Anolis sagrei: one gene and its partners. The main gene of each other region encodes a partner of the protein of the gene in region 3 in a complex. Links are inferred from orthologs where the notes say so. Each region holds a gene or a part of one and is shown on either strand. Other genes may lie near its edges.

Region 1 (10,580 bases), on a different chromosome or scaffold from region 3:
AGAGAGGTTTATATATCTGTGCAATGTCCAGGGAGGGAGAAAGAACTCGTCTGCTTGAAGCAAGTATGAATGTTGCAGCCAGCCTTACAGCTTCAAAGCCTCACTGCTTCCTGCTATATATTAATATTATATACTAATATATGGAGCCCCTGGTGGTGCAGTGGGTTAAACCACTGAGCTGCTGAACTTGCTAACCGAAAGGTCGCAGGTTCTAATCCGGGGAGCAGGGTGAACTCCCGCTGTTAGCACCAGCTTCTGCCAACCTGGCAATTTGAAAACATGCAACGGCGCTCTATGCAGTCAAGCTGACCACATGACCTTGGAGGTGTCTATGGACAACGCTGGCTGTTCGGCTTAGAAATAGAGATGCGCACCAACCCCCAGAGTCAGACATGACTGGACTTAATGTCAGGGGAAAACCTTTACCCTTTATTATACATAAAAGTATACTAATACTTTTATGTCAAGTCACATGTCAAGTTATCTCCCCTTTGGGGAGATAAAGTGGGGTATAAATAAATATAACAACAACAACAACAACAACAACAACAACAACAACTGGATTTAATGTCAAGGGAAAACCTTTACCCAACAACAACAACAATTTAACTTATATTAATATTATTAACTATTTCAATTATTGTTATTTATTATTAAATTATTTTTAATTATTGTTATAAAATTAATTAAATTATATGAAACCTTTTTGTGTGTTAATAGAAAACACGATTAAAAGAAAAAAAAGAAAATCATATAAAATTAGCAAAAAGAAAAAAAAAAGAAAAATTATTCTGATTAACATGTTTTAAAAGACACTGTAATCCCTGACTGCTACCTTCCCCTGCTTCAAAGCTTCACCGTTATATCTAATCAGAAGGGACAATTCAATTAAAGAAGAGGAAAGGATATATCCTTGCCGGAGTCGCTCTCGACAACCACGTCCTCCATAGATTCAAAGTACTGGCTCCACGGGACCGGGGAATAGTCACGTTTCCTTCCAGGTCTGAAAGAAGAAACGTGGATAGTTTATATATAATGACAGTACAATTCATTCTCACAGCGGTGAGACCAGCATTCCCAGTTTCATCTTCCCACACAACAAAATATGTCCTCACTGGGGACTTTCTCCTACAGGCAATTCCAGGGTAAACTTCTGCTTACCTAGAAAAAATCCTAGAAAGGCATCCATTTAATTGCATGTATTATTCTGTGCCTCCGTCTGTCTGTTTGTCTGGAAGAGGAAATGCCAAATCCTTTTTGCCAAGCACTGTCAATAGCATCATTAATTCTAGTAAAGATAATGCTATCTAGCTCCTTACCTTCTTCTCCTATTCTGTTCTGTCCCACGTTCCAGTTTTTAAAATTATTATTATTATTATCATCATTTTTATTATATGAATAAAGTATTATTATTAATAAATTAGCCATCCCCTGCTGTGGCCGTCTGCGTATATGTGTTTTGTGTGTGTATATGTGTCTGTGTGTATATATCTGTGTATATATGTGTGTTTGCATATATATATGTGGGTGTATATATATATATATATATATGTGTGTGTGTGTGTGTGTATATATGTGTGTATATATTTGTGTGTTTATATGTATACATGCATATTGTGTATATGTGTGTATATATGTGTGTATATATGTGTTTGCATATATATATGTGGGTGTATATATGTGTGTGTGTGTGTATGTATATATTTGTGTATATATGTGTGCTTGCTTATATATACATGGGCGTATAAATGTGTGTTTGCTTATATATATATGGGTGTATATGTTGTGATAGAGTCTGCTGGCAGTGATAGTAACACTAGTTGTATTAGGAAAGGCAGGAGAACTACTCGCGAGCAAGACTATGATGGACCATAAACTATACTTCTTTAATTGGCTGGCGTCTGACCTTGACAGTATATGTGTGTATATATTTGTGTATATATGTGTGGACTTTGATGGACTAATTCCCTGGACTATTTTGTTCCGGCTTATCTTCCTACCTAATTGGATTTACCTATACCTTTAAAGTGCTTTTTTACTTTTACTGCTTTTTAATTGTCTTCAATAAACAGATTTAATTGTCTTCAATAAACTCAGAGGGCTTTTCCTGGTCTGGATTTGGGGATGAAACCAAACCAACCCCACTGGATACCAATGGGCCTATTGTAATTACTATTATTACATTCAAGAGCCTTTTTCTAGGAAAGGAATGATGCACCTTGCAACTGAAGAAACGCAAGCTGAAAAGCAGGACAGTCTATAGATAATACACAACTGCACCTCAAAAGCAAGAGCAAATTATAGGGATGCCCCATCCGCACGCAGCCAACAGCTAAAAAGGACCTGCCAATTATATTATATCCCAATTATATTTCTTAAAATAGCTGCGAATGGAGAAAGAATGAAAAGTATGAGGTCCGTACAAAAGGTTGTTGGACTGTAATTCCCGGCAAATCTAACCAGCACATCCCCAAACTTAAGAAGAATATCCTCATATCCTTAACTGCATCTCCAACTTAATAATATCCTTATATATTTACCGGTAATAATAATAATATCCTCAAATACGTAATTGCATCCCCAACTTAATAATAATATCCTTATATATTTACCGGTAATAATAATAATATCCTCATATCCTTAACTGCATCCCCCAACTTAATAATAATAATAGCTTTATATATTTAATAATAATAATATCCTCAAATACCTAATTGCACCCCCAACTTAATAATATCCTTATATACTTAATAATAATAATATCCTCATATACTTAACTGCATCCCCCAACTTAATAATAATAACATTAGCCTTATATATTTAATAATAATAGTATCCTCAAATACCTAATTGCATCCCCAACTTAATAATATCCTTATATATTTAATAATAATTTTAATATCCTCAAATACCTAATTGCATCCTTATATATGTTGTAATAATAATAATAATAATAATAATAATAAATCATAATAATAATAATAACGCCGCCCTGAGTTGCCTTCGGGCTGATATGAGCGGGATACGAATGTTGCAAATAAATAAATAAATAAATATCCTCATATACTTAACTGCGTCCCCAACTTAATAATAATAATAATAATAATAATAATAATAACCTTACATATTAAATAATAATAATAATATTCTCATATACTTAACTGCATCCACAATTTAATAACAACAACAATAATTGTAATAATGTGTTGTCGAAGGCTTTCATGGCCGGAATCACTGGGTTATTGTGATTTTTCTGAGCTGACTAGCCATGTTCCAGAAGCATTCTCTCCTGATGTTTCGCCCACAACTATTTTATCTATTTATTTATTTTATTTAGCAATTTTGTATACCGGTCTTCTCCCCTCTATCGGGGGACTCGGGCCGGTTTCCAACAATAAAATCACAAAACAATCATTAAAAACATCTTATGACATATTCAATTAAAACGTTATAACAGCAAAATGCAATCACATAATAACAATGGTCAGTCGTCATAGTGAATCCGTTGTCCATCATTCATCGTCATCTATCCGATCACAAAAATATTGATTCACTCGTTGAAAGCCAAACCCCATAGCCAGGTTTTCACCCATTTTCTGAACGACAGAATGGAGGGGGCAGTTCTGATCTCCAGCGGGAGAGAGTTCCAGAGTCGAGGGGCCACCACCGAGAAGGCCCTGTCCTCTGAGGTCTGTTGGAAACTAGGCAAGTGGATTAAGGTTCAGTGTGGGAAAAAGAACTCTTGTCTGTTTGAGGTAGGTGTGAATGTTGCAATTGGCCACCTCGATTAGCATTTAATGGCCTTGCAGTTTCAAAGCCAGGCTGATTGCTGCCTGGGGGAATCCTTTGTCGGGCTTTATATACCTGTGGATTAAGGTCCAGTGTGGGAGAAAGAACTCTTGTCTGTTTGAGGTAGGTGTCAATGTTACAATTGGCCACTTTGATTAGCATGTAATGGCCTTGCAGTTTCAAAGCCTGGCTGATTGCTGCCTGGGGGGGGGGGAATCCTTTGTCGGGTGTTGTTAGTTGGTCTTGGGTTGATTCTTGTCTGGAATTCCTATGACCCAGTTAGGGCTGGCTAAGACCTCCCAACAAAGGGTTTCCCCAGGCAGGAAGCAGCCAGGCTTTGAAGCTGCAAGGCTTTCCAATGCTAATCAAACTCACAGAAACCCAATAATAATGGCCCTGGTTGTTTCTTGTCTGGAATTCCTATGACCCAATCAAGGCCAGCTCAGACTTCCCAACAAAGGGTTTCCCCAGGCAGGAAGCAGCCAGGCTTTGGAGCTGCAAGGCTTTGCAATGCTAATCAAACTCAAAGAAACCCAATAATAATGGCCCTGGTTGTTTCTTGCCTGGAATTCCCCTGACCCAATCAGGGCCAGCTAAGACCTCCCAACAAAGGGTTTCCCCAGGCAGGAAGCAGCCAGGCTTTGAAGCTGCAAGGCTTTGCAATGCTAATCAAACTCACAGAAACCCAGTAGTAATATCTTCATATACTTAATCAATCTTCTTATGCATAATAATAATAACAATAATAGTAATTGTAGTGGAATTCCTTTGAAAGGTGAAAAAACCCACCATGACGTCACCCTTTGCCTCCCTCCCCGTGACGTCACGCAGCCCCCTCCCCTCGCGTGACGTCACCCCTCACCCAGATCTTGGGCCTCACCCCATGCGCATCTTGGGGGCCCCTTGAGCGCCCATCCCGGCCGGGCCCGGTCCTCGGGGCGGGAGGCGGCCCAACTGCAGCTGCTTCTCCAGCGCCGACATGGCTGCCACCCCTCAGGAAGGCAGGAAGCGGCGAGAAAGGGCACCGGGACTACAACTCCCGGCATGCCCCGCGCTCCCGGCACACTGCTCCTCCTTTGAAGCCCCGCCCCGGAGCATCACGGGATGGCGAGTCCTTTCTTTTTCCTCCTTTCATTTTACGCCGGGTCTATCTCTGACGTACACCGGAAGCGGCGAAAAAGGGCATCGGGACTACAATTCCCGACGTGCCCCGCGCTCCCGGCACGCTGCTCCTCGCTTGAAGCGCCGCCCCGGAGCAGCACGGGACATCGAGTCCTTTCTTTCTCCTCCTTTCATTTTACGCCCGGCCTGTCTCTGACGTAGACCGGAAGTGCACGCAGGGCAGCACGGGAAATGGAGTTCTCTGCGGCTGAGAGGCCGATAAGAAAGAGCCGGCTTAGAGACACACGCATGCGCGGTTCAGGGCAGCACGGGAAATGGAGTTCTCTGCGGCTGAGAGGCCGATAAGAAAGAGCCGGCTTAGAGACTCGCGCATGCGCGGTTCGGGGAATGGCCGCAGCCGGGCTTTCCTCCCGCCGGTTTCCCAGGAAGCATTGCGAGCCGCGGCCTGCGTTGCCAAGCAACGCGAAGCGGCCTAGTCGTAGTTGAAGCCTCCTGGGAGTAGTTGAAGAAGGATGAAGCAGAAGAAAAAGGCGGCGAAGGGCTTCTCCTCCCCGTCCCTCTCCTCTCGGCCTGGGCGCAAGCGGAAGGGTGAGAATCGGGGGGAAGTTACAATTCGCCATGGGGCAAAAGGCAGTTATTTATTATTTATTTATTTATTAGATGCACTTATTGACCGCCATTCTCAGCCCTTACGGGCGACTCATGGCGGTGTACAGTACACATAAAAAGACAGTTACAGAGGCCAGTATCAACAACATATGACTATACAACAAATACAAACTACAAACTACATAAAAATCCGCTTCGTCTCTTAGTAGAATCATAGCCAGTCTCATCTTCCTTATACCATTCCAGTTCTCATTACCGTAATGTTGTTGCTTAGCACTTAATTAAATGCCCTCTCGAACAGCCAGGTCTTAAGGCTTTTTCGAAAGGACATGAGGGAGGGCGCCTGTCTGATGTGTGCCGGGAGAGTGTTCCACAGCCGGGGGGCCACCACCGAGAAGGCCCTCTCCCTCGTCCCCGCCAGCCGTGCCTGTGATGCAGGCGGGATCGAGAGAAGGGCCTCCCCAGACGATCTCAAGGTCCTCGTGGGCTCGTAGGCCAAGATGCGGTCCGAAAGGTATTTTGGGCCGGAACCGTTTAGGGCTTTGTAGGCCAAGACCAGCACCTTGAATTGGGTCCGGTAGCAAATCGGCAGCCAGTGAAGCTGGGACAACAAGGGCGTTGTGTGCTCCCTGCTACCCGCTCCAGTTAGTAACATGGCTGCCGCACGCTGGACCAGCTGAAGCTTCCGGGCCATCTTCAAGGGCAGCCCCACGTAGAGAGCGTTGCAGTAATCCAGGCGGGATGTGACAAGAGCGTGTACCACCGTGGCCAAGTCAGACTTCCCGAGATATGGGCGCAGCTGGCGCACGAGCCTAAGCTGTGCAAATGCTCCCCTGGTCACCGCTGAAACCTGGGGATCCAGGCTCAACGATGAGTCCAGGGTCACACCCAAGCTGCGAACCTGCGCCTTCAAGGGGAGTGCGACCCCGTCCAGCACAGGCTGTAACCCTATATCCCGTTCGGCCTTGCGACTGACCAGGAGTACCTCTGTCTTGTCTGGATTTAGTTTCAGTTTGTTCGCCCTCATCCAGACCGTTACAGCGGCCAGGCACCGGTTCAGGACCTCGACAGCCTCCTTAGTAGCAGGTGGGAAGGAGTGACAGAGTTGGACATCATCTGCGTACAGATGACACCGCACCCCGAAACTCCGGATGATCTCACCCAGCGGCTTCATGTAGATGTTAAACAGCATGGGGGACAGTATGGAACCCTGTGGCACCCCACAAGTCAAAGGTTGTGGTGCGGAACAGGAGTCCCCCAATAACACCTTCTGGGTGCGACCCTCCAGAAATGACCGGAGCCACCGCAAAGCAATGCCTCCAAGACCCATTTCCGCAAGGCGCCCCAGAAGGATACCGTGGTCGACGGTATCGAAGGCCGCTGAGAGGTCCAGGAGCACCAACAGGGACACACTCCCCCTGTCTAGCTCCCGGCGCAGATCATCCACTAAGGCGACCAAGACCGTCTCGGTACCATGCCCCGGTCTGAAACCAGACTGTGCCGGATCCAGATAATCCGTGTCTCTCAAGAATACCTGGAGTTGTGAGGCCACCACGCTTTCCATGACTTTGCCCAAAAAGGGGAGATTGGAAACAGGCCGAAAGTTGTCCAATTTAGTGGGGTCCAGTGATGGCTTCTTCAACAGCGGCTTTATAATAGCCTGTTTTAGGCTCGCTGGAATCTTGCCTTCCCGAAGGGAGGCATTCACCACCACTGTTACCCACTCGGCCAATCCCCCTCTGGCCTCTCTCAGAAGCCAGGATGGGCAGGGGTCTAGGATGGACGTGGTGGGCCTCATTCCTCCAAGTATCTTGTCCACATCCTCGGGTTTCACAAACTGAAAAGAATCCAACAAAATAGGACAAGCAGGTGCTCTCGTTACATCCACAGAGTCTGCATCTAACGCGGCGTCCAGCCCAGAACGGATCAAGGCGACTTTGTCTGCGAAGAACCGAGCAAATGCTTCACAGCGCGCGACCGAATTGTCAGGGCTCCCACCTGCAGAGGCGGGAGTTAAAAGACCTCTGACAATCCGAAACAGGTCCGCCGGACGGTTCTTTGCAGACGCAATAGTGGCCGCAAAGAAAGTTTTCTTTGCGGTCTTTATTGCCGCGGCATATGCCCTAAGAAAGGACACAAACCGTGCTCGGTTTGACTCGCTCGGTTCCGAACGCCACACGCTCTCTAGTTCCCTCTTCCTTCGCTTCATAGCTGCCAGCTCCTCAGTAAACCAAGGGGCTGGTTTAGCTCGGCTACTTGAGAGGGGACGTTCCGGAGCGATCATGTCAATAGCCCTGGTCATCTCCCCATTCCAGAGAGCGACCAAGGCTTCGACATGGTCACCTACCGAGGTGGCGGGAAAATCCCCAAGAGCCGTCAGGAAGCCATTCGGATCCATAAGCCTCCTGGGGCGGACCATCTTAATGGGTCCTCCACCTTTGCAGAGGTTAGGGGGCGCAGTGAGCCTAAATCTGATCAGGAAGTGGTCGGTCCATGGCAACGGAGAGATGGACAACTCCTCCACACCGCCACCCTGTTCCCATCCCTGACAGAAAACCAAATCCAATGTGTGTCCAGCACAGTGGGTGGGGCCAGATATTTGTTGGGACAGCCCCATGGTTGCCATGGCAGACATGAAGTCCTGAGCCGCGCCTGTGAGGGTCGTCTCGGCATGGACGTTGAAGTCTCCCAGCACAAGAAGCCGTTGAGACTTCAATGCCAGGCTCGAGACCACCCCCGCTAGCTCAGGTAGGGAGACTGTAGTGCAGCGAGGTGGACGGTACACTACTAGAATCCCTATACTGTCCCGGTCACCCACCCTCAGGTAGACGCTTTCGTTAAAGCGGTATCAAACCGCGTTAAGCCCGCAGTGTAGATGCACCCCATAGCCTGCGTGGAATAGAATGGATATGTCATTGTGTCATTCTATAATGTCACGTTTCTCTCTTTCACCCTCCATTCGTGCCTCTTTGAATTCTGCAGCACTGCTGGTCACAGCCGACCTCCAACTGGAGCACTCAAGGGCCAGGGCTTCCCATTGCCACAGTTTTTGAGATTGACGGTCCTGGTCAGGGTTGGCTTGATGTGCCTTCCTCTTGGTACGTTTCTCTCTTTCGCTCTCCATTCGTGCCTCTTCAAATTCTGCAGCACTGCTGGTCACAGCTGACCTCCAGCTAGAGCGCTCAAGGGCCAGGGCTTCCCAGTTCACAGTGTCTATGCCACAGCTTTATTATTATTATTATTATTACTACCTTATTAACACCTTTGTTGTTTTGTTGTTGCTGTTGTTATCTGATGCACAACAAGATGAGTACACAGTGAACAAGATCACTCTGCTGGCTGCTGTATTGGATCACATGTTGGACACCTCCCAGTTGTCTAGGACTTGACACATTTCTCTCTTTCGCCCTCTATTCTCACCTCTTCGATTTGTGCAGCACTGCTGGTCACAGCTGACCTCCAGCTGGAGCGCTCAAGGACCAGGGCTTCCCAGTTCTCGATGTCTATGCCAGAGTTTTTAAGGTTGGCTTTGAGCCCATCTTTAAATCTCTTTTCCTGTCAACCAACATTCCGTTTTCCAAGTTCGAAGTAGAACAACTGCTTTGGGAGACGGTGGTCGGGCATCCGGACAACATGGCCGGTCCAGCGGAGTTGATGGTGGAAGACCATCACTTCAATGCTGGTGGTCTTTGCTTCTTCCAGCACACTGACATTTCTCCGCCTGTCTTCCAAAGAGATTTGCAGGATTTTCCGGAGGCAGCGCTGATGGAATCGTTCCAGGAGTTGCATGTGACGTCTGTAGACAGTCCACATTTTGCAGGCGTAGAGCAGGGTTGGGAGGACGATAGCTTTATTGCATTCAAATCACCCCTGACAGATGGTCATCCAGCCTCTGTTTCAAAGCTTCCAAAGAAGGAGCCTCCACCACACTCCGGGGCAGAGAGTTCCACTGCTGAACGGCTCTCACAGTCAGGAAGTTCTTCCTCATGTTTAGATGGAATCTCCTCTCTTGTAGTTTGAAGCCATTGTTCCGTGTCCTAGTCTCCAAGGAAGCAGAAAGGAAGCTTGCTCCCTCCTCCCTGTGGCTTCCTCTCACATATTTATACATGGCTATCATATCTCCTCTCAGCCTTCTCTTCTTCAGTCTAAACAGGCCCAGATCCTTAAGCCACTCCTCATAGGGCCTGTTCTCCAGACCCTGGATCATTTTAGTCGCCCTCCTCTGGACACATTCCAGCTTGTCAATATCTCTCTTGAATTGTGGTGCCCAGAATTGGACACAATATTCCAGGTGTGGTCTAAACAAAGCAGAATAGAGCATGGGGAGCACGACTTCCCTAGATCTCTAGATACTATGCTCCTATTGATGCACTATGCTCCTATGAATCATTCACATTGTCTAAATAACTGTGTTCTAATGCTTTTTCGCAGATCTCAGTGACATTACCCCTTCGACAAGCTTGCCGCCTCTCGTGGAAGGACAGCTACGCTGCTTTCTGAAGCTGACCGTTAGCAAGATCCTATGGATGGTTTCCAAGCCACCATCTTCCTTCCTGATCCGGGTGCGGTGGTGGGGAGAGACCTCAGATGGCACTGTTTTCACTCCCCGTGACCCCTCGCAAGCAGAGCAAAAGACACTGAAGACTACCACTCGCTACCCAGTTCGGTGTGGACCAAAACAGTTTACCGCCTACCTGACAGGTACTGATTGGATCCTTGATGCTTAAGTATCTAAATTTTTTTTGCTTTAGGATTGGAATTCACTCTTAAAGCAAAAACTAGAACGGACAGGAATTGCTGGGTTGTTGTAGGTTTTTCCAGGCTATATGGCCATGTTCTGGAGGCAATTTTTCTCCTGACGTTTCGCCTGCATCTATGGCAAGCATCTTCAGAGGTAGTGAGGTCTGTTGGAAGTAGAAAAAATGGGTTTATATATCTGTGGAATAACCAGGGTGAGACAAAGGACTTTTAGGTTCTTGTGGGTTTTTTCGGGCTATAGAGCCATGTTCTAGAGGCATTTCTCCTGACGTTTCGCTTGCATCTATGGCAAGCATCCTCAG
Region 2 (10,209 bases), about 230 Mb from region 3:
ATGCGGGGCGGTTGCTAAGGGCCGAAGCGGCGAGGAGGCGTGTTGCCCGCAGGGGTTTCCGCCCGCTCTCTCCCTCCGAGGCCAGTCTGTGGGCTCCGCATCCTTCCTCGCCATCTGCACAGCTACGTTACGCTCGTCTCTCCCCCTTTGCTGCCCGTCCTCCATGAAAAAGAGCCAAACAAACCTCGTTGGGCCAAGGTAAGCCTTTGGGGCGAATGCCGAGCCTCAAGGAATTGTGGGAGTTGAAGTCCACCACACCTGGAGGGCCGAAGGTTCCCGACCCCTGCCCTAAAAGCACCCAATCCCTTCTGATCTTGGAAGCTAAGCAGGGTCAAGCCTTGGTTGACAGTTGGATGGGAGATGCCCAATGAATATCATTTGCTATAGGCTAGATTTCAGCAGAAGAAACTTGCAAAAAAACGTGAGTAAAACTTGCCTATGGAAATCCAATGGAATTCATGCAGTGGCCATCAGTAAACTAGGACACCATTGGCACTGACCACAAAACCGCCAAAAGAAATCCCTTCTTGCACATCAGTGTTCTCTGGTTTGTGTTAATCCCCATCCAGGCCTCAAATTGGTTTTAGGATTTCCTATATAATAATCTGCACAGGGAAACCACTTTCTGCAATACCAATTTGACACAGCATTACATGGTCAGTGCAGATGTGGGCTAGGAGTGTCTCTACACTGTAGAATGAATATAATTTGACTCCACTTGAACTGCCATGGCTCAGTGCAATGGAATCCTAGTTATGGTAGTTCCACAACGTCTTTAACCTTCAATTTTTTTTCATCATGTCAGAAATGACTTTGAAAAACTACAAGTCGCTTCTAGTGTGAGAAAATTGGCCATCTGCAGAGACGTTGCCCAAGGGATGCCCAAATGTATTACCATCCTGTGGGAGACGTCTTACATGTCCCCGCATGAAAAGCTGGGGCTGAGAGATGGGAGCTCACCCAGTCTCATGAATTCGAACCTCTGACCTTCTGGTCAGCAGTTCAGCCAGCACAAGGGTTTAAGCCATTGTGCACTGTGAGCTCATTTGACCTTCACTGTTAAAGAGGGCTGGTGTTTCACAAAGCTGCAACTCCTATGATTACAAAGCACTGGGCCATGGCAGTTAAAGGGGTGTCTAACTACTTTGATTCTACAAAGTGAATTAGTGTTGCCAAAGGCTTTCATGGCCAGAATCACTGGGTTGCTGTTGAGTTTTCTGGGCTGTATGGCCATGATCCAGAAGCATTCTCTCCTAATTAGCATTATACCCTAAGTCAGGGGTCCCCAAACTAAGCCCTGGGGCCAGATACAGCTCTCTAAGGTCATTTACCCAGCCCTCGCTCAGGGTCAACCAAAGTCTGAAATGATTTGAAAGCACACGACAACAACAACAACAACAACAATTGTATCTCATCAGTCAAAAGCAGGCCCACACTTCCCATTGAAATACTTGTTATTTGTTAAAATTGTTCTTCATTTTAATTATTGTATTGTTTTAAGTGTTTTTTTGCACTGCAAATAAGGTATCTGTAGTGTGCATAGGAATTCATTCATGTTTTTTTTTTAATTATAATCTGGCCCTCCAACAGTTTGAGGGATTGTGACCTGACCCTCTGTTTAAAAAAGTTTGAGGACCCCTGCCCTAAGTAGTCCCAGCCTAAGAAAATCCAGTGAAATTCCTGTGGTGGCCATTAGGCGACTAGTAGGCAGCAGCATCACTGCTGAAAACACAACTGAAACATCATTGTACCTTTTCCCTTCCTAAAATACAGGCAGTCTCCAAGTTACAAACCTCTGACTTATAAATGACTCACAGTTAAGAATGGGGATGAGACAACAGGAAGTGAGAGAACTCTCACCTTCAGAAGGGAATTTTTCTCCTGCTACCTCATCACACTAGAGAATGAATCCTCTATAAATCCGGTTGCTGCCTCCTGCAGAATTCTGTGGTTTGTAGTTTAGGGAGAAGGCTTTAACAGCCTCACTAAACTACAAACCCCAGAATTCTGCAGGAGTCAAAAACCAAAACGCCCTTCCTAGAGACATTAGATCGGCCCTCTCTCTTTTAGCATTCTGGAGGAAAGTCAAGACCTGCCTGTTTGAGAAAGTGTTTGAAAAGGCAGTGTAACAGACATAGGAATAAGGAACGATTGGATGATGAGACTGGACCTTGATTTTAACTTGGAGATGTTCACGATCTATGTTTTATTGACTTCGTTATGATTGTATATTTATGTTAATGTTTTAAATGTTTTATGATGTTGCTGGGCATTGAATTTTGCCTCTGTAAACCGCCTTGTGTCGCCCGTGGGCTGAGAAAGGCGGTATACAAATTTAACAAATAAATAAATAGTGTGCTGAAGTGGCTGCTGGAAGAGTTATCATAGGCAAAAGGTATTTCCACTGAAGCTGTATCACCAACCCTTATTGCACAACAAGCCCATTTTTTTAAAATGCAATGATCACAGGGACAGAAAGTGAGGCGAAATCCTCTGAAGAGGGGCATAGGGACCAACACAAACTCCACAGGGGTGTGTCCACCCTTCTCTATGCTATCCATAGTTCAGGCCCATAGCCAGGATTTTGATTGGGGGGGGGGGGGCTGAGTTTGATTCGGGGGGGCTAAGTTTGATTCTGGGGGGGGGGTGAGGATCTACCCTAGCAAACCTTTTGTATCATTGTCCCAATACCCCCATGCATATGGGATATATTGAAAATGGTGATCAGATCATGATATGAACAAACATAACAATTTAAATAATGTACCAGTAACGCCTTCTTGCAAACCACCCTGAGAATTTCAGGGAGGGGGCTGAAGCCCCTCAAGCCCCCCACCCCACCCGGCTACTGGCTTGCCATAGATAAATAGAAAGATAGACAGGGCCATAGCCAGAAAAAAAATTCAGGAGAGGTTGAAATTTTCGGGGGGGGGGGGGGGTTGAAACCTGCCTCCTAGCTCACGCTGAAGCAAAGAGCACAGCAGGGGGCAGAGCAACCTTCAATAGCCTGCAGCTCCGCCCCTGTCAACCACCTCCACCAAGTCTGGCCTCCTTAATGAGAGCATTCAACACACACACCCCCAACTTGGTTGCTTCACTACACTGGCTATTGCTGCAAGTAATAACAGTGTGAATAAATTGTCAATATTTGCCTGAGATAGTGCTTGCAGTTCTGGAGGGACTCATAGACTTAGCATGGGGATTTGGTTAACCAGTTAAAATTTACTGAAACATTTCGGGGGGGGGGGGGGGTTGAACCCCTAACACCCCACCCCCCCTCGCTACAGGCCTGAAGATAGATAAGATAGTTAAAACCTACCTGACAAATGAATTCAACTTCAGAACAAACCTATTGAAAAAGAAATCTTCTCTTGTTCGTAAGGTAGGGCTTGCCTGTATATCTTGAGGTATAGCTTTTCTGTCTAAAATTAGAAACAAGCACCACCCCGTTCTGGACGAGGGTTTCTGAATGTAGGAAAGGAGATGTCACCTAAGGAAGAGCAGTTGGACAGCGGAATATGATGATGCCTTGGAAGGGCGGCTATAGAGCAGGGCTGGGCCAACTTGGGCCCTCCAGGGGTTTTGGACTTCAACTCCCAAGCATTCCTAACAGCCTCAGGCCCTTTCCTTTCCCCTCTAAGCCGCATAAGCGGCTGAGGGGGAAAAGGAAGGGGCCTGAGGCTGTTAGGAATGCTGGGCGTTGAAGTCCAAAACTCCTGGAGGGAGGGCCCAAGTTGGCCCGGGCCTGGCGTAGAATGAATATGCTGGACCTTCATACCTGTTGGTGGGTGTGCTGGGTTCCGAGGCGCTGAACGGGGGGTGCGGCGAGTAGGAGGGCGAGGCGGGCACGCTGCCCCCGCCGACCCGGTGGTCCTCGCCCGGCTCCTTGCTCTCCTTCCTCCGGAGGCGCCACGGGCCGAACCCCGAGCGCTTCTTCCGCGCCCCCGGGGAGCTGGCCTGGCTGCTGGCGCTGAGGCGATGCTCCCGTCGCGGCTCCGGCGCCGGGGAAGGGCACGGAGACGGCAGCGAGTCCGCTTCGGAGTCCTCCGACTCGCTCCGGTGCCGGAAGAGCCTCCCCAAGCGGCGCAAACCCGCTTTCTCCATGGTGGGACCCCCGGCGAGAGGGACGGAGGAGGCGACGCTGCTGCTCCGGGGGCGGCTTCGTCCCTCGCGCGCGTGAGGCGACGGTTACAGAGAGGGAGGGGGGGGGACTCAGGAGCGCCCAGGTGTTCTGTGGCGCGCGCGAAACCCCGCCCCTCCCTCCGCCCTCGCCCCGCCCCGCCCTCCGCTTCTTGCGCAACGTCCACTGCCAGGGATTCCCTCTTCCCCCGCCCACTGAGGCTCACCTCAAGTGCATCCCTGCACTCTAGAAGAGGCATGGGCAAACTTCGGCCCTCCAGGTGTTTTGGACTTCAATTCCCACTCTTAAATTAAATCCCACCATTCTCCCAGCACCAGGCATATAGGGGGGGGGGCTTGTGGGGCTTCAGCCCCCCCCCCCCCGAAATTTTCAGGGTGGTCCACGAGAAGGCCTTACTGGTACATTATTTAAACTGTTATGTGTATTCATATCATGATCTGATTACCATGCTCAATATATCCCATATGCATGGGGGTATTGGGACAATAATACAAAAGGTTTGCTAGGGTAGATCCTCACCCCCCCAACCAAAGTCACCCCCCCACAATCAAACTCAGCCCCCCACCCCATCCCCGAATCAAAATACTGGCTACGGACCTGCCCAGCACATATATGAGATTGAGAGCCCTCAGTGGCACAGCGGGTTAAACCGCTGAGCTGCTGAACTCGCTGAACAAAAGATCAGTGGTTTGAATCCGGGAAGCAGGGTGAGCTCCTGTTATTAGCCTCAGCTTATGACAACCTAGCAGTTCAAAAGCATGCAAATGTGAGTATGTAGATCAATAGATACAGCTCTAGCAGTAAGGTAAAAGCGCTTCATTGCAGTCATGCCAGCCACATGACCTGGAGGCATCTACGGACAACACCGGCTCTTCGGCTTAGAAATGGAGATGAGAGCCCCCCCCCCCCCCACTTCTTAAAAAATTGATCCAACTTCACTGGACATATACAATAAACTATAGTTATTTATTTATTTACTACATTTATATGCCACCCTTCGCACCTTGAAGGGGACTCAGAGCAGCTTACAAGTAATATGTGAATACAATATATTATATTATTACCGTAGCACAATATTAGCATTAGCTATTACTATATTGTACTATACCATTATATTGTAATATTATGTTATTATTATTATTTACTATATTTATAGCCTGCCTTCCACAGCCATACGGCAACTCAAGGCGGGTTACAGACTGGCACAATTCAATGTCAGGCGTTCATAAAAGTGCCATTAAAAACAATCAACATTACAATATAAAACATAAATAAAAACAGTTAAAGCATATAATCATCAGTGTCATCTTGTTAAAAACATTATCCAGTAACATCGCCTGGCCATTCCATGTTCATCATTCATAGTTCCGTGTTATCTATTCCGCTGCATTCTCAAAAGCTTGCTCAAAGAGCCAGGTCTTTACTTTTTCCGGAAAGTCAGGAGGAAGGGGGGCAATCTAATATCCCTGGGGAGGGGGTTCCATAATATTATTAGTACTATTACATGTAATATAAAATATATAATTAGAATACTATATTAGTGTTATTAGTATTATATTGTATTACATTACACATTATCCCAGGATTCGAACCAACAACCTGTCAGTCTCCAGTTCTGCTGGCACAAGGGTAGGTTCGAATCCAGGGAAAGCACGGATGAGCTCCCTCTGTCAGCTCCAGTTCCCTGTGCGGGGACATGAGAGAAAGATGGCAAAACATCAAAATATCTGGGCATCTCCTGGGCAACTTCCTTGCAGACGGCCAATTCTCTCACAACAGAAGTGACTTGAAGTTTCTCAAGTCACTCCTGACACAAAAAAAACACCTACCTCCTAGAGTACGATACAACAAAACTTAATGTCGGGGGAAGACATTTACCTTTACCTATGAGATAATATTAAAAATAACAACAGTAACAACTTTATTCTTATACCTCACCACCATCTTCCTGAAAGGGCTCAGGGTGGCTTCCAGACGGCACAAAGTGCCTAAAAATATACATAAAACTGAACACAATATAAAACACAATAAAATAAAACACATGCACATACAAATACATCAATCCAGACTCAATAAAGCTGCGGTCCTCTAACTGTGACGGGAAATTACTGGCACCATGGCCGGGCTGTAAACATTAAAATAAAATAAGTGCCACTGCAGTAATTGAGAGAAGGCATGAGATAAAGTGCAGGATGTGCTACTACTAGGTAGGACAACTAGGGGCTAAATATTCTCAAAGGCTTGATTGAAAAGCCATGTCTTCAAGTCCCTACAAAAGGAGGACAGTGTGAGGGCCTGTCTAATCTCCCTGGGGAGGGAGTTCCAAAGCCGGGGAGCCACCACTGAAAAGGCCCTCTCCCTCATCCCCAACAACTGCGCTTGAGATGGTGGTGGGACTGTGAGGATGGCCTCCCCGGCAGATCTTAGAGGCCATATCAGTTCATAGTGGAGGATGTGATCATGAATATAGACAGTACTCGAGTAGTTTAGGGCTGTATAAGTTATAACTGGCACTTTGAATTGGGACCAGAAATTTATTGGCAGACAATGGAGTTGCTTTAGTAGGGGCATCATGTGCTCTCTATAGCTTGTTCCAGTTAGTAGCCTGGCTGCAGATCTTTGGACAAATTGCAGTTTTTGAGCTGTCTTCAAAGGCAGCCCCACATAGAGTGCATTACGGATGCTATGTACATTTCAGAAGTAAACCATTTATCCCCCCCCCCTCCCTTGCACACACATGTGAGATCATTCTCTGAGCTTGGGCTCTAGATTGCAGCAAAACAATTTAAATGCCGACAGCAAATACTTTAAAAATTGATCCAGAACTTTCAAGACATCAGTAAAGATTGTCTTTTCCATTGTAATAAGGTAGCTCTTCAATTGCTCTTAATAGCTGTCCATCTGATCTGGTCAGTTTGTCTTGAAGATGAACTGGGATGATCAAGTGTCATTGACAACTCCCCTCTTAACTGAGGGAACTGAGTACATTATACATATCTGAGGACAGAATTTTACCCACAGAAAAATAGCAATTGAAAGGATCAGTTCTGCCTGCTTAACCATCAATGCAGGGCTGTTCACGTTAACATGTGCTGGAATGCTTTTTTCAGACTGGTTTCAAATGACTCAAGCGGTTTCTGCCACTTGCCCTCAGTTTCCCTTGTTGCAAATATCTGAGGAAAACAGTTCTCAGCAAAGGGACTTCTGTCGGGGGTGCTTTGCGATTTTCCTGCTTCTTGGCAGGGGGTCGGACTGGATGGCCCACGCAGTCTCTTCCAACTCTATGATTCTATTACTTCTTTTCACAGAGAAAAGTTAGATTTTGTTAGATTGTGCTGAGCTTTCTCTCTCCCCCCCCCCCCCCCCCCCCGTATCATTATATCTCCTAATGATACAACTGCTAAACTACAAATGCCAGTTTTGGTTTGACATTTGGTTTGCCTTGTCTTACATTCCAATCAGCTGTTGGAATGTAAGACATAATTGAAGAGGCATCTCTTCCAGCAGACCTACCCAGTCAGTTCTAAGTTGTGAATTTTAATCTGGATTTTATCAGGCTGTCCCTTGTGTCTGGTGACGGGAGTTTGGGAAAGTGTTGCCCTATAGATCTCAAGGTTCTGGTAGGGTAGTATAGGGAGATACAGCCTCTCAGATACTAGGTTGTTGTAGGTTTTTCGGGCTGTATGGCCATGTTCTAGAAGTATTCTCTCCTGACGGTTCGCCTGCATCTATGTCAGGCATCCTCGGAGGTTGTGAGGTCTGTTGGAAACTAGGAAAATGAGGTTTATATATCTGTGGAAAGTCCAGGGTGGGAGAAATAACTCTTGTCTGTTGGAACTAGGTGTGAATGTTTCAATTGGCCACTTGATTAGCATTTGATGGTCTGACAATTTTTAGGTGTGCCCTGTTACTACCTGGGGGAATTCTTTGTTGAGAGATGATTAGCTGTTCCTGATTGTTTCTTCTCTGGCGTTCCCCAGGGTTTGAGTTTTGTTTTTTTATTTACTGTTATAATTTTAGATTTTTTAAAAATACCGGTAGCCAGATTTTGTTCATTTTCATTGCTTCTTCCTTTCTGTTGAAATTGTCTACATGCTTGTGGATTTCAATGGTTTCTCTGTGTAATCTGACATGGTGGTTGTTGGAGTGGTCCAGCATTTCTGTGTTCTCAAATAATATGCTGTGTCCAGGCTGGTTCATCAGGTGCTCTACTATGACTGACTTCTCTGGTTGAAGTAGCGCCCAAACACCAATTAAGGAACATGAAAGGCATTGCAGACAACTTCTGAGGATGCAGGCAAAACGTCAGGAGAGAATACTTCTAGAACATGGCCATACAGCCTGAAAAACCTACAACAACCCAGTGACTTTGGCCATTACGGCCTTCAACAATGCATTCAGCACAGATAGTTTGAACCTAAATCATATAGGACTTTATAGGTCATGACCAGCACATTTAATTATGCCCAGAATTGAACAAATAGTTATTTTAACAATGAAATCACATGGTTCCTATAACTGGCCCTAGTCAGCATTCTGGCTGCAGCATTCTGGCCCCACTGTGTTTTAAAACCATTTCCTAAGGCAGTACTACATTGTATGAGTTATAGTAGTCCAAATAGGAAGTAAACAAGGTATATGTCAGTGCAGCCAGATCTGACATCTCAAGGAACAGGTGCAACTGGTACACTAGTTTAGCTGTGCAAATGCACTCCTAGCCACTGCTGAAACCTAAGCATTCAGGCTCAGAGTTGAGTCCAGGAGAATATCCAAGCTGCGAGCTGAAGATTTCAGGAGGCGTATAACCCTATCTAGTACAGGCAAAATCCTTATTCCCTGATCTGCCTTCTGATTATCCAGGAGCACCTCTGTTTTGTCTAGATTAGGTTTCAGTTTGTTTGCCCTCGTGCAGTCCTTTCCACTTACTATCCATAATTGACTGCCAAAGGGCTAAAATGAAATAAATATGTGCTGGGTTGCAACATGGATATCTTTAAAATGTCATATTGCAGGGGCATCTTTATAATCTTCCAGGTGTGGTTACTAGCTACTGTGCCTTCATTCAAATATAAAACCTAGTACTGCCTCTAGACATTTAGCATTCCAAAATAGGCTGGTTAACTGTCTGTTAATTTAATCCATATATTTTGCTTACATTATTGTATGCATATGTTTTTTTCCAAACATAAAACTAGTACACCCTCAGAGGGAGAAATCTAAAAAACTGGGGAAAACTGAAATACCATACAAAGGAATTTGGCTCAAGAAAGTAATCATAACTATTCTTTTCCTCTTAATTTTCCAAATGTATATTATATGTATGAATACATTTGTGGCACAAGGTCTTATATCTTTGTGAGTTACATAATTTGAATGTTTGTCATGAAACCCATTTCACAATGTCAGTAACACTATACATTTAAATGCTGGCAGCTGTAACAACCACTGGAACTATTTCAGTTGCTCCATTCCTGGTGCTGCGAAATATCTAGCAAGCATAGCTGTGATTCTGTAATTGATTGGAGGGGTTGATATATTCCCCTAAGCAAGGCCGTAGCCAGAAAACCTTTTTGGGTGGGGTTGAAAATTTGGGGGTGGTGGTGTTGAAACTTGCCTCCTAGCTCACGCTGAAGCAAGGAGCACAGCAGGGGGCAGAGCAGCCTTCAGTAGCCTGCATCTCTGCCCCTGTCAACCACCTCCACCAAGTCTGGCCTCCTTAATGAGAGCACCCTCCCCCCAAACTTGGTTGCTTCGCTACATTGGCTATTGCTGCAAGTAATGACAGTGTGAATAAATTGTCAATATTTGCTTGAGATAGTGCTTGCAGTTCTGGAGGGACTCATAGACTTAGCATGGAGATTTGGTTAACCAGTTAAAATTCATGAGTAAACCAGGTTTTTTAATCTGAAAAAATTGGCTACAGGCCTGCCCTAAGACCTGAAAGAACATAGCTGAAGGGCATGGAGTCATATGAAGTAATATCACTGCCATGTGCTGCAGCTTACAACTCCATTCCCACTGCTACTACAGTGAAGAGGTTTCCCTGCCAAATGCACAACTGACCGGAA
Region 3 (10,194 bases):
ATTAATGCAGCTTAGTACCACTTTCCCTGCCATGGGTCAGTGCTTGCTGAGCCACCAGACCTCTCTGGAAGAGAAAGACCGTGCTTCTCAACTGTTCAACTGAAGGTTTAAGTTACTGAAGTCCCAATCAGAAGGAGAGAAGGCACTTCAGAAACTGAACGAAAACTGTTATCTCAGTCAATCTTTAAGGTGTTCTCTAGTAGAGAAGGTTAAATACCTTGTGAAACTACAACTCCCACAATTCTATAGCATTGAGCCAGGGCAGTCAGTGGTGTCAAACCACATTTATTCGACATCGTAGATGCACCCCATGCCTTTGAATTGTATGGTAAATATTGTCTGCGCCAAGAACTCTTAACATTTGATGCCTTTGCTCACTTGGCTTGTCCTTTCTCTTCAGATCCTTAAACGGTGCTCAACTGAAGTTTTAAGTTACTGAAGTTTCCCGCAAAAAGAGGCATGTCAGGAAATTTTCATCTTTATTTCAGTATCTAAGGTACTAACTTTGTTTCCCTTTTTCTTCAGGCCCCAAAACTGTGCTTCTGTAATGTTGGACTGAAGTTTTAAGTGACTGAAATGCCAAATAAATAAATATTGAGCATTTCAGAAACTGAAGAGAATTGCATCTTAATTCTTGGGAGTCTTCAAAGTGCTAACTTTGCCTACCCTTTTGCTTCACACCTCTCAACTATGCTTCTAAAATGCTCAACTGACATTTCAAGTTGCTAAAGTACCAAAAAAGTGGTCACTTAAGTAACTGAAGGGAAATTTCAACTTTAAAAAAGTTAGGTGGGGGTAACTTAGATTCAATAAAGTTAGCAAGTATTTCCTCTGATAATTTTGCCTGCTCTTTCTCTTCAGACCCCTAAAGTGTAATTCTAAAATGCTTACGTTACTCAAATACCAAAAAATGGTCACTTGAGTAACTGAAAGGAAATCTCAACTTTAACATAGTTAGGTTAGGTAGGGTAACTTAACTTCAATGGAGTTGTGGGATAACTTAACTTCAATGGAATGATCAAGTATTTCCCTTGATACCTTTGCCCACCCTTTCTCTTCAGACCCCTAAAGTGTAATTCAAAAATGTTTAAGTTACTTGAGTAATTGAAGGGAAATCTCAACTTTAACAAAGTTAGGTGGTGTAACTTAACTTCAATGGGGTTGTGGGATAACTTAACTTCAATGGAATTATAACTGAAGTTAATAAAATAAAAATTATCAAGTATTTCCCTTGATACCTTTGCCCACCCTTTCTCTTCAGACCCCTAAAGTGTAATTCTAAAATTTTTAAGTTACTCAAGTATCCAGAAAACCAGTCACTTGGATAACTGAAGGGAAATCTCAACTTTAACATAGTTAGGTGGGGTAACTTAACTTCAATGGAGTTGCGGGACAACATAACTTCAATGGAGTTATTAAGTATTTCCCTTGATACTTTCACCTGCCCTTTTCTCTTTAGACCCCTAAAGTGCAATTCTAAAATTTTTAAGTTACTTGAGTAACTGAAGGGAAATCTCAACTTTAACATAGTTAGGTAGGGTAACTTCAATGGAATTATCAAGTATTTCCCTTGATACCTTTGCCTGCCCTTTCTCTAAAGTTTAATTCTAAAATGTTTAAGTTACTCAAGTACCTAAATAAATAAATAAATAAATAAATAAAAATTGGTCACTCGATTAACTGAAGGGAAATCTCAACTTTAACATAGTTAGGTGGAATAACTTAACTTCAATGGAATTATCAAGTATTTCCCTTGATACCTTTGCCCGCCCTTTCTCTTCAGACCTCTAAAGTTTAATTCTAAAATGTTTAAGTTACTCAAGTACCTAAATAAATAAATAAATATTGGTCAATTGACTAACTGAAGGGAAATCTCAACTTTAATATTCTTAGGTGGGGTAATTTAACTTCAATGAAGTTGTAGGACAACTTAACTTCAATGGAATTATCAAATATTTCCCTTGATACCTTTGCCCGCCCTTTCTCTTCAGACCTCTAAAGTTTAATTCTAAAATGTTTAAGTTACTCAAGTACCTAAATAAATAAATAAATATTAATCACTTGACTAACTGAAGGGAAATCTCAACTTTAACATAGTTAGGTTGGGTAACTTAACTTCAATGGAGTTGTGGGATAACTTAACTTCAATGGAGTGATGAAGTATTTCCCTTGATACCTTTGCCCGCCCTTTCTCTTCAGACCTCTAAAATATTTAACTCTAAAATATTTAAGTTATTCAAATAAATAAATAAATAAATATAAATTGGTCACTTGACTAACTGAAGGGAAATCTCAACTTTAACATAGTTAGGTGGGGTAACTTAACTTCAATGGAATTATCAAATATTTCCCTTGATACCGCTGCCTGCCCTTTCTCTTCAGATCCCTAAAGTTTAACTCTAAAATGTTTAAGTTACTCAAATACCTAAATAAATAAATAAATATTAATCACTTGACTAACTGAAGGGAAATCTCAACTTTAACATAGTTTGGTGGGGTAATTTACTTCAATGGAATTATCAAGTATTTCCCTTGATACCTTTGCCTGGTCTTTCTCTAAAGTTTAATTCTAAAATGTTTAAGTTATTCAAATACCTAAATAAATAAATAAAAATTGGTCACTTGAGTAACTGAAGGTAAATCTCAACTTTAACATAGTTAGGTGGGGTAACTTAACTTCAATGAAGTTGTGGGACAAATTAACGTCAATGGAATTATCAAATATTTCCCTTGATACCTTTGCCCGCCCTTTCTCTTCAGACCCCTAAAGTTAGGTAGGGTAACTTAATTTCAATGGAGTTGTGGGATAACGTAACTTCAATGGAATTATCAAATATTTCCCTTGATACCTTTGCCCGCCCTTTCTCTTCAGACCCCTAAAGTTAGGTAGGGTAACTTAATTTCAATGGAGTTGTGGGATAACGTAACTTCAATGGAATTATCAAATATTTCCCTTGATACCTTTGCCCGCCCTTTCTCTTCAGACCCCTAAAGTTTAATTCTAAAATGTTTACTCAAGTACCTAAATAAATAAATATTAATCACTTGGCTAACTGAAGGGAAATCTCAACTTTAACATAGTTAGGTGGAGTAACTTAACTTCAATGAAGTTGTGGACAACTTAACTTCAATGGAATTGTCAAATATTTCCCTTGATACCTTTGCCCGCCCTTTCTCTAAAGTTTAATTCTAAAATGTTTAAGTTACTCAAGCACCTAAAGAAATTTTTAAAAAATTGGTTAAATAAATAAATATTGGTCACTTGATTAACTGAAGGGACATCTCAACTTTAACATAGTTAGGTGGAGTAATTTAACTTCAATGAAGTTGTGGACAACTTAACTTCAATGGAATTGTCAAATATTTCCCTTGATACCTTTGCCTGCCCTTTCTCTCCATGAAGTGACGTCAATAAGTTACTAAAGTATGGGTAAAAATAGAGTGGTTTCAGTAATTGAAGGAAAAAATCTCGTCTCTGTTCTGTCAGTGAAGTCTCCAAGGTGCTCCCAAAACCACCTTCAGTGGGAGAGGGAAAAAAAGAGCAAATTTGGGGATTTTCCCCTTCACAAGTTCAATTCTGAAACCAAACACTTTCTTTTTGCCACAGAAGCAGTCTCAAGAGCAGGCATGGGTCAACTTGGGCCCTCCAGGTGTTTTGGACTTCAACTCCCACAATTCCTAACAGCCTCAGGCCCCTTCCTTTTCCCCCTCAGCCGCTTAAGCGGCTGAGGGGGAAAAGGAAGGGGCCTGAGGCTGTTAGGAATTGTGGGAGTTGAAGTCCAAAACACCTGGAGGGCCCAAGTTGGCCCATGCCTGCTGAAGAGGCCTCCCTCCCGCCCCTTCCTCCTCCTCCTCCTCCAAGCCCTCCTCCCCGCCTCAGGCCTGACCTGGCTCTTCTCCTTCTTGGTTTTATTCGGCATGGCCGACTGCTTGGGTGTCTGCTGGGGGCCCGCCAGGCCTCCCTCAGAGTTGGTGGTGTGTGTGGCGGCCCCGTTGCCTCACTCCTTCTGAGTCCTCCTCCTCCTCTTCCTCCTCCTCCACCGGCCGGCCAGCCAGCCGGCCTCCCTCCCTTCCCTCCTGCCTTCCCTCCTTCCTTCTCCGGCTCCCAGGAGCGACTGAGGAGGAGGAGGAAGCGGCCTCCGCCTCCGTCCGCAGCCCTCTCTCCGCTTCGAAAGAAAGAAGGCGCCGCCCGATTGGTTGCCGCGGGTCACGTGGAGGCCAACGTTCTTCTCCCTCAGGTCCTCCTGCTCCACCCCGCCTTCGCCCAACCCCAATAGACTTCAACTCCCAGACGCCTCCGCCGGCTTGGCCCACGGTGAGGGATTCTGGGAGTTGGAGTTCAAAACACCAGGGTGCTTGTTGAGAGCCTCCCTTGTGGTATGGTGGTAGGGGAAGGCGTGCAAGCTTGACGCCACGTTACCTGCCAAGGCTCAGGGCCCTTCCACGCAGCCATATAACCCGCAATATCAAGGCAGAAACGTGGAGTTTCAGAAAAAGCATCTATTTCTGTTTTATTGACTAAAGCCTTGGACTGTGTGGATCATAATAAATTGTGACAAGTTCTTGGTGATATGGGCATACCAATGCACCTCTTCTCTCTCCTGAGGAATCTGTATAAGGACCAAGTAGCCACATAGAATCATAGAGTTGGAAGAGACCTCATGGGCCATCCAGTCCAACCCCCTGTCAAGAAGCAGGGATATTGCATTCAAAGCACCCCTGGCAGATGGCCATCTAGCCTCTGTTTAAAAACCTCCAAAGAAGGAGCCTCCACCACACTCCGGGGCAGAGAGTTCCACTGCTGAACAGCTCTCACAGTTAGGAAGTTCCTCATGTTCAGATGGAATCTCCTTTCTTGTAGTTTGAAGCCATTGTTGAACTGACCATGGAACAACGGACTGGTTCAAGATTGGGAAAGGCGTACGGCAGGGTTGTATCCTCTCACCCAACCTATTCAACTTGTATGCAGAACACATCATGCGATGTGTGGGGTTTGACGAATGAAAGGCTGGGGTAAAAATGGCAATCACAACCTCAGATATGCAGATGACACCACTGATGGCCGAAAGCGAGGAGGAGCTGAGGAGCCTTCTAATCAAGGTGAACGAAGAAAGCGCAAAAGCTGGGTTGCAGCTAAATGTAAAAAAACCCCAAGATTATGGCAACTAGAATGACTGACAACTGGAAAATAGAGGGAGAAAATGTGGAGGCCGTGACAGACTTTGTATTTCTAGGAGCAAAGATTACTGTAAATGCAGACTGTGGCCAGGAAATCAGAAGACGCTTACTTCTTGGGAGGAGAGCAATGTCCAGTCTCGATAAAATAGTAAAGAGTAGAGACATCAGACTGGCAACAAAGATCCGCCTAGTCAAAGCCATGGTATTCCCTGTAGTCACCTACGGATGTGAGAGCTGGACCTTAGGGAAGGCTGAGCGAAGGAAGATTGATGCTTTTGAGCTGTGGTGTTGGAGGAAAGTGCTGAGAGTGCCTTGGACTGCGAGAAGATCCAACCAGTCCATCCTCCAGGAAATAAAGCCCGACTGCTCACTGGAGGGAAGGAGATTAGAGACAAAGTTGAAGTACTTTGGCCACATCATGAGGAGACAGCAAAGCCTGGAGAAGACAATGATGCTGGGGAAAGTGGAAGGCAAAAGGAAGAGGGGCCGACCAAGGGCAAGATGGATGGATGGCATCTTTGAAGTGACTGGACTGAAACTGAAGGAGCTGGGGGTGGTGACGGCCGACAGGGAGCTCTGGCGTGGGCTGGTCCATGAGGTCACAAAGAGTCGGAGACGACTGAACGAATAAACAACAAATCTGAGTCCACACTGCCATATATTCCAGTTCAAAGCACCACAATTCAAGAGAGATATTGACAAGCTGGAATGTGTCCAGAGGAGGACGACTAAAATGATCTGGTCTGGAGAACAAGCCCTATGAGGAGTGGTTTAAGGAGCTGGGTATGTTTAGCCTGAAGAAGAGAAGGCTGAGAGGAGATATGATAGCCATGTATAAATATGTGAGAGGAAGCCACAGGGAGGAGGGAGCAAGCTTGTTTTCTGCTTCCCTGGAGACTAGGACGCGGAACAATGGCTTCAAACTACAAGAGAGGAGATTCCATCTGAACATGAGGAAGAACTTCCTGACTGTGAGAGCCATTCAGCAGTGGAACTCTCTGCCCCAGAGTGTGGTGGAGGCTCCTTCTTTGGAAGCTTTTAAACAGAGGCTGGATGGCCATCTGTCAGGGGTGGTTTGAATGCAATATTCCTGCTTCTTGGCAGGGGGTTGGACTGGATGGCCCGTGAGGTCTCTTCCAACTCTTTGATTCTATGATTCTATGAAACTGAGATTTTACTTGGAAGGGGTCTCAGAATATCAAGGCAAAAAATCCCACAATATCTGCTTTGAACTGGGTTATCTGAGTCCACATTGCTATATATGTTGTTGTTGTTCATTCGTTCAGTCGTCTCCGACTCTTCGTGACCTCATGGACCAGCCCACGCCAGAGCTCCCTGTCGGCCGTCACCACCCCCAGCTCCCTCAAGGATTGCTATATATATTCCAGTTCAAAGCAGATAATCTGAGATTTTACTTGGAAGGGGCTTCAATATCAAGACAAAATAATCCCACAATATCTGCTTTGAACGGGGTTATCTGAGTCCTGTTGTTTTTTATTTGTTCAGTCACTTCCAACTCTTCGTGACCTCATGGACCAGCCCGCACCAGAGCTCCCTGTTGGTCATCACCACCCCCAGCTCCTTCAGGGTCAATCCAGTCACTTAAAGGATGCCATCCATCCATCTTGACCTTGATCGCCCCCCCCCCTTCCTTTTTTCTTCTATTTTCCCCAGGATCATTGTCTTCTCTAAGCTTTCCTGTCTTCTCATGATGTGGCCAAGGTACTTCATCTTTGTCTCTAATATCCTTCCCTCCAGTGAGCAGCCGGGCATTATTTCCTAGAGTATGGACTGGATGGATTTTCTTGCAGTCCAAGGCACTCTCAGAACTTTCCTCCAATGCCACCATTCAAAAGAGTCTATCTTCCTTCGCTCAGCCTTCCCTATGGTCCAGCTCTCACATCCGTAGGTGACTATGGGGAATACCATTGCTCTAACTCTGCAGATCTTCATTGCCAGTGCGATGTCTCTACTCTTCACTATTTTATCAAGATTGGACATTGCTCTCCTCCCAAGAAGGAAACAGCTTCTGATTTCCTGGCTGCAGTCTGCGTCTGCAGGAATCTTGCACCTAGAAATACAAAGTCTGTCACGGCCTCCATGTTCTCTCCCTCTATTTGTTATCAATCAGTCTGGTTGCCATGATCTTGGGGTTTTTTTATGTTTAACTGCAGCCCAGCTTTTGCGCTTTCTTCTTTCACCTTGGTTGAAGGCTCCTCAGCTCCTCCTCACTTTTGACAGCCATGGCTAAATGCTATGGAATGTTGGGGTTTGTAGTTTAGGATGGCCCCAGTAGTCTTTGGCAGAGAAGGCTAAAAGGCCTTGCAAAACTACAACTCCCATGATTTCATATCAATAGTCATAGCAGTTCATCTCCAGCCCATCCCCTTTTTGGATATCCGCCAGCACGCCAATGCCTTAAATCAAGAAATAGTTTTCTAAGATCTACAGAGATACTCACAGGAACATTTCAGCAAGCAAGAGTCCAAACGTGGCAGGCTAAAATCCAGAACCTCAAGCCATGGCTGATACCGAATGAGAGACTCTCTCCTGGGCACACAGAAGACTGAGTGACTTGGAAGACGTTGAACAGACTGCGCTCTGGCACCACGAGATGCAGAGCCAACTTTAAGAAATGGGGCCACAAAGTGGAGTCCATGACATGCAAGTGTGGAGAAGAGCAAACCACAGACCACCTATTAAAACGAAGTCTGAGCCCTGCTACATGCACAGCGGAGGACCTTCTTACAGCAACACCAGAGGTACTCCAGGTGGCCAGCTACTGGTCAAAGACATTTAGTATAATGCCAAGTTTTTAAAACTTTGTGTTTTTAAATACATTTCAACTGTACCTCGGTTCACAAACGTTGGCCCTCCAGGTGTTTTGGACTTCAACTCCACAATTCCTAACAACCCACCGGCTGTTAGAAATTATGGAAGTTGAAGTCCAAAAAACCTGGAGGGCCCAAGTTTGTCCATGCCTGGTCTACACTGCCATATAAACCAGTTCAATGCAATTAATCTGCACTCTGAAACTGAATTCAGTGGCTGCGTAGAAGGGGCCTTAATCTCAAGGGAAGGCAAGGGCAAATTCCCTCTGAAAAAATCTTGCCAAGAAAAAACCCATGATAGATTAACCTTCGGGGTAAGAAACGACTTGAAGGCACATAACAACAGTTAGGATTTGATTAATTTTTAAATTATTTATTTTTAGTCATTACCTCGCTTGAAGGCCTACTTTGAGGCAAAAATATGACCTATAATTTTGTTTTAGTGAATAGTGAATTTATTCCTTTGCATGGCCCTACACTCTGAAACAGACAAAAAGAATATTTCAGAAAAGACTGAAAATATCTTAGCTGTATGTTCGGTATCCATTCTTTCATTTCAGGCTGGATTTACACTGCCATTTAATACAGTTTGGAACTGAATTGTATGGTTAATGCAGACCATATAATGCAGTTCAATGTAGTTTACCTTGTATGTATGTATGTATGAGTCTACACTGACCATATATGGTAGTGTATTTGGGGCCTATGATTAGCTTCCAAGGTCAGACAAGATCTGGTGCCTTTAAGGTATTTAGCTTACACCAAAGTTAAAAAATAAATAAAACTAAAAATCTATTGAAGCAAAAGTGTGTTTTTTAAACCCCAAATCTCCAATGCAGATTTCAATATTTATTTATTTATTATTTCACATTTTGCCTTGCACAGAATCAAATGGAGATTACAATAATCTATTTTAACTATTTTGTTTATTTAAAAATCTACAGAGACTTTTATTGTCAAAATAATTAAAAATGCTGTCCAGGTTGGCAGTCAAGGCAAAAAGAACCTGGAAAAAGGAAGGCTACTATATCTATGGGTCTTAAGTTGTAACGTGGGCCCCACCTACACTGCCATATAATGCAGTTCCATAATAATAATAATACATCATTTATACCTCATCACCATGTACTGAAGGGATGGGGCAGCTAACAAAGCACTCAAAGATGCAAACACACAAAATACAAAAAATGCAGAAACAATAACTGTATTATATGGCAGTGTAGGCTCATAAAATGCCGTTCATTATATGCGTCTACACATTGACTGTTGCATCCCAGTTCAAGAAACGAGACCATAAGATTAAATCCACCACACTGGACTGTAGGAAAAGCAATCCTTGTTTATTGATGAACAATTGGTTACAAAAGAAAGGTAAATGCAAAGTCAAAAAGCCACAGAAAAACACAGCAGTCAGTAGAATCTCTGAACTTGAGCAAAATTTCAAAAGCCGCAATACAAGAACCAGGAACCTGTTAGTCTTTTACTAACCATGAACTTAATAAATACAAGCCTCTGGGATTACCGGCCATGAAACACAGGAATTCTGCCAAGGTGCAGCCACAGTCCCAAACGTTGCTTGATCTAAAGAGGCACCCGGCAGGAGGCCTCTTAAACCAAAGAAGCTATTCTTTGAAATGCCCCTTGACTTTGAAGCCTGGGCCTATCTCTCCTGTAAACGAAGTGACCTTCGTAGAAACTGGGAAACATTTCTCTCTCTAACTATCTGTTCTCTTCGGTCCTCATTAAAAACCCCAGGTGGAGAGATATCACGGCTAGTTTCCAAAACATTTTCCTCCAGCTGTTGAGTTTCATTTTCATCACCATTGACCTCTGTATCAACAACAGATTCCACACTGTCAGGGTCAGGGAGAGCTTGCTTAGTTGGAAAAACTATCAGAGAATCCGGTTCACACAGATCAGGATCAGGCTGAACCCCAACATTGACTATACATGCAGTTTCAAACTGCATTAAATGACAGTGTAAACGGGGCCCTATTTAGCAGAAAATGCGAGATGTACTTGACACCTAGCACTGTAAATGACTTCATCACTTTAAAAGATATATCTATATGCAATTGTGCCTTCTTTTGCAGAAGAGACAATTGCTCATTAATTTTCCACTGGACCAACCTTTTAATTTTGCTGGTGTTATGTACTTTTTGTTGGAAATAGCAACTTTCTACAA

What was found.
Region 1: the proteins of PPP2R5C (region 3) and PPME1 are in contact, whole or in part, in a cryo-EM structure (PDB 7SOY), measured with the Homo sapiens proteins. The link is inferred for Anolis sagrei from reciprocal best matches to the Homo sapiens genes PPP2R5C and PPME1. Residues at the interface, in NP_002710.2 of Homo sapiens: Asp180, His187, Arg188, Tyr190, Gly191, Leu194, Arg197, Ser230, Ile231, Gly234, Phe235, Ala236, Lys240, His243, Asp313, Gln341, Tyr348, Glu353, Tyr354, Glu399; in NP_057231.1 of Homo sapiens: Arg37, Lys38, Arg39, Asn192, Lys217, Val251, Glu252, Gly253, Ile254, Ile255, Glu256, Glu257, Pro345, Gln346.
Region 2: the proteins of PPP2R5C (region 3) and CRYBG1 are in contact, whole or in part, in a crystal structure (PDB 6VRO), measured with the Homo sapiens proteins. The link is inferred for Anolis sagrei from reciprocal best matches to the Homo sapiens genes PPP2R5C and CRYBG1. Residues at the interface, in NP_002710.2 of Homo sapiens: Lys183, Thr184, His187, Tyr190, Gly191, Leu194, Arg197, Ala198, Arg201, Glu226, Ile227, Ser230, Ile231, Asn233, Gly234, Phe235, Ala236, Lys240, Glu242, His243, Pro265, Gln266, Tyr269; in NP_001358171.1 of Homo sapiens: Pro1136, Phe1138, Ala1139, Met1140, Pro1141, Pro1142, Ile1143, His1144, Glu1145, Asp1146, His1147, Glu1149.

What each region holds. Positions count from the first base shown.
Region 1 is NC_090023.1:5,508,720-5,519,299, forward strand, and holds the start of PPME1 (protein phosphatase methylesterase 1), read right to left. Parts: upstream 4,814-10,580; 5' UTR 4,771-4,813; coding exon 4,670-4,770; intron 1,004-4,669; coding exon 909-1,003; intron 1-908. Other genes in the region: C2CD3 (C2 domain-containing protein 3), read left to right, coding at 5,424-5,499, 9,952-10,221. UniProt on the Homo sapiens protein: Demethylates proteins that have been reversibly carboxymethylated. Demethylates PPP2CB (in vitro) and PPP2CA. Binding to PPP2CA displaces the manganese ion and inactivates the enzyme.
Region 2 is NC_090021.1:95,484,351-95,494,559, forward strand, and holds the start of CRYBG1 (beta/gamma crystallin domain-containing protein 1), read right to left. Parts: upstream 4,200-10,209; 5' UTR 4,105-4,199; coding exon 3,779-4,104; intron 1-3,778. UniProt on the Homo sapiens protein: May function as suppressor of malignant melanoma. It may exert its effects through interactions with the cytoskeleton.
Region 3 is NC_090021.1:323,540,868-323,551,061, reverse strand, and holds the start of PPP2R5C (serine/threonine-protein phosphatase 2A 56 kDa regulatory subunit gamma isoform), read right to left. Parts: upstream 4,179-10,194; 5' UTR 3,921-4,178; coding exon 3,888-3,920; intron 1-3,887.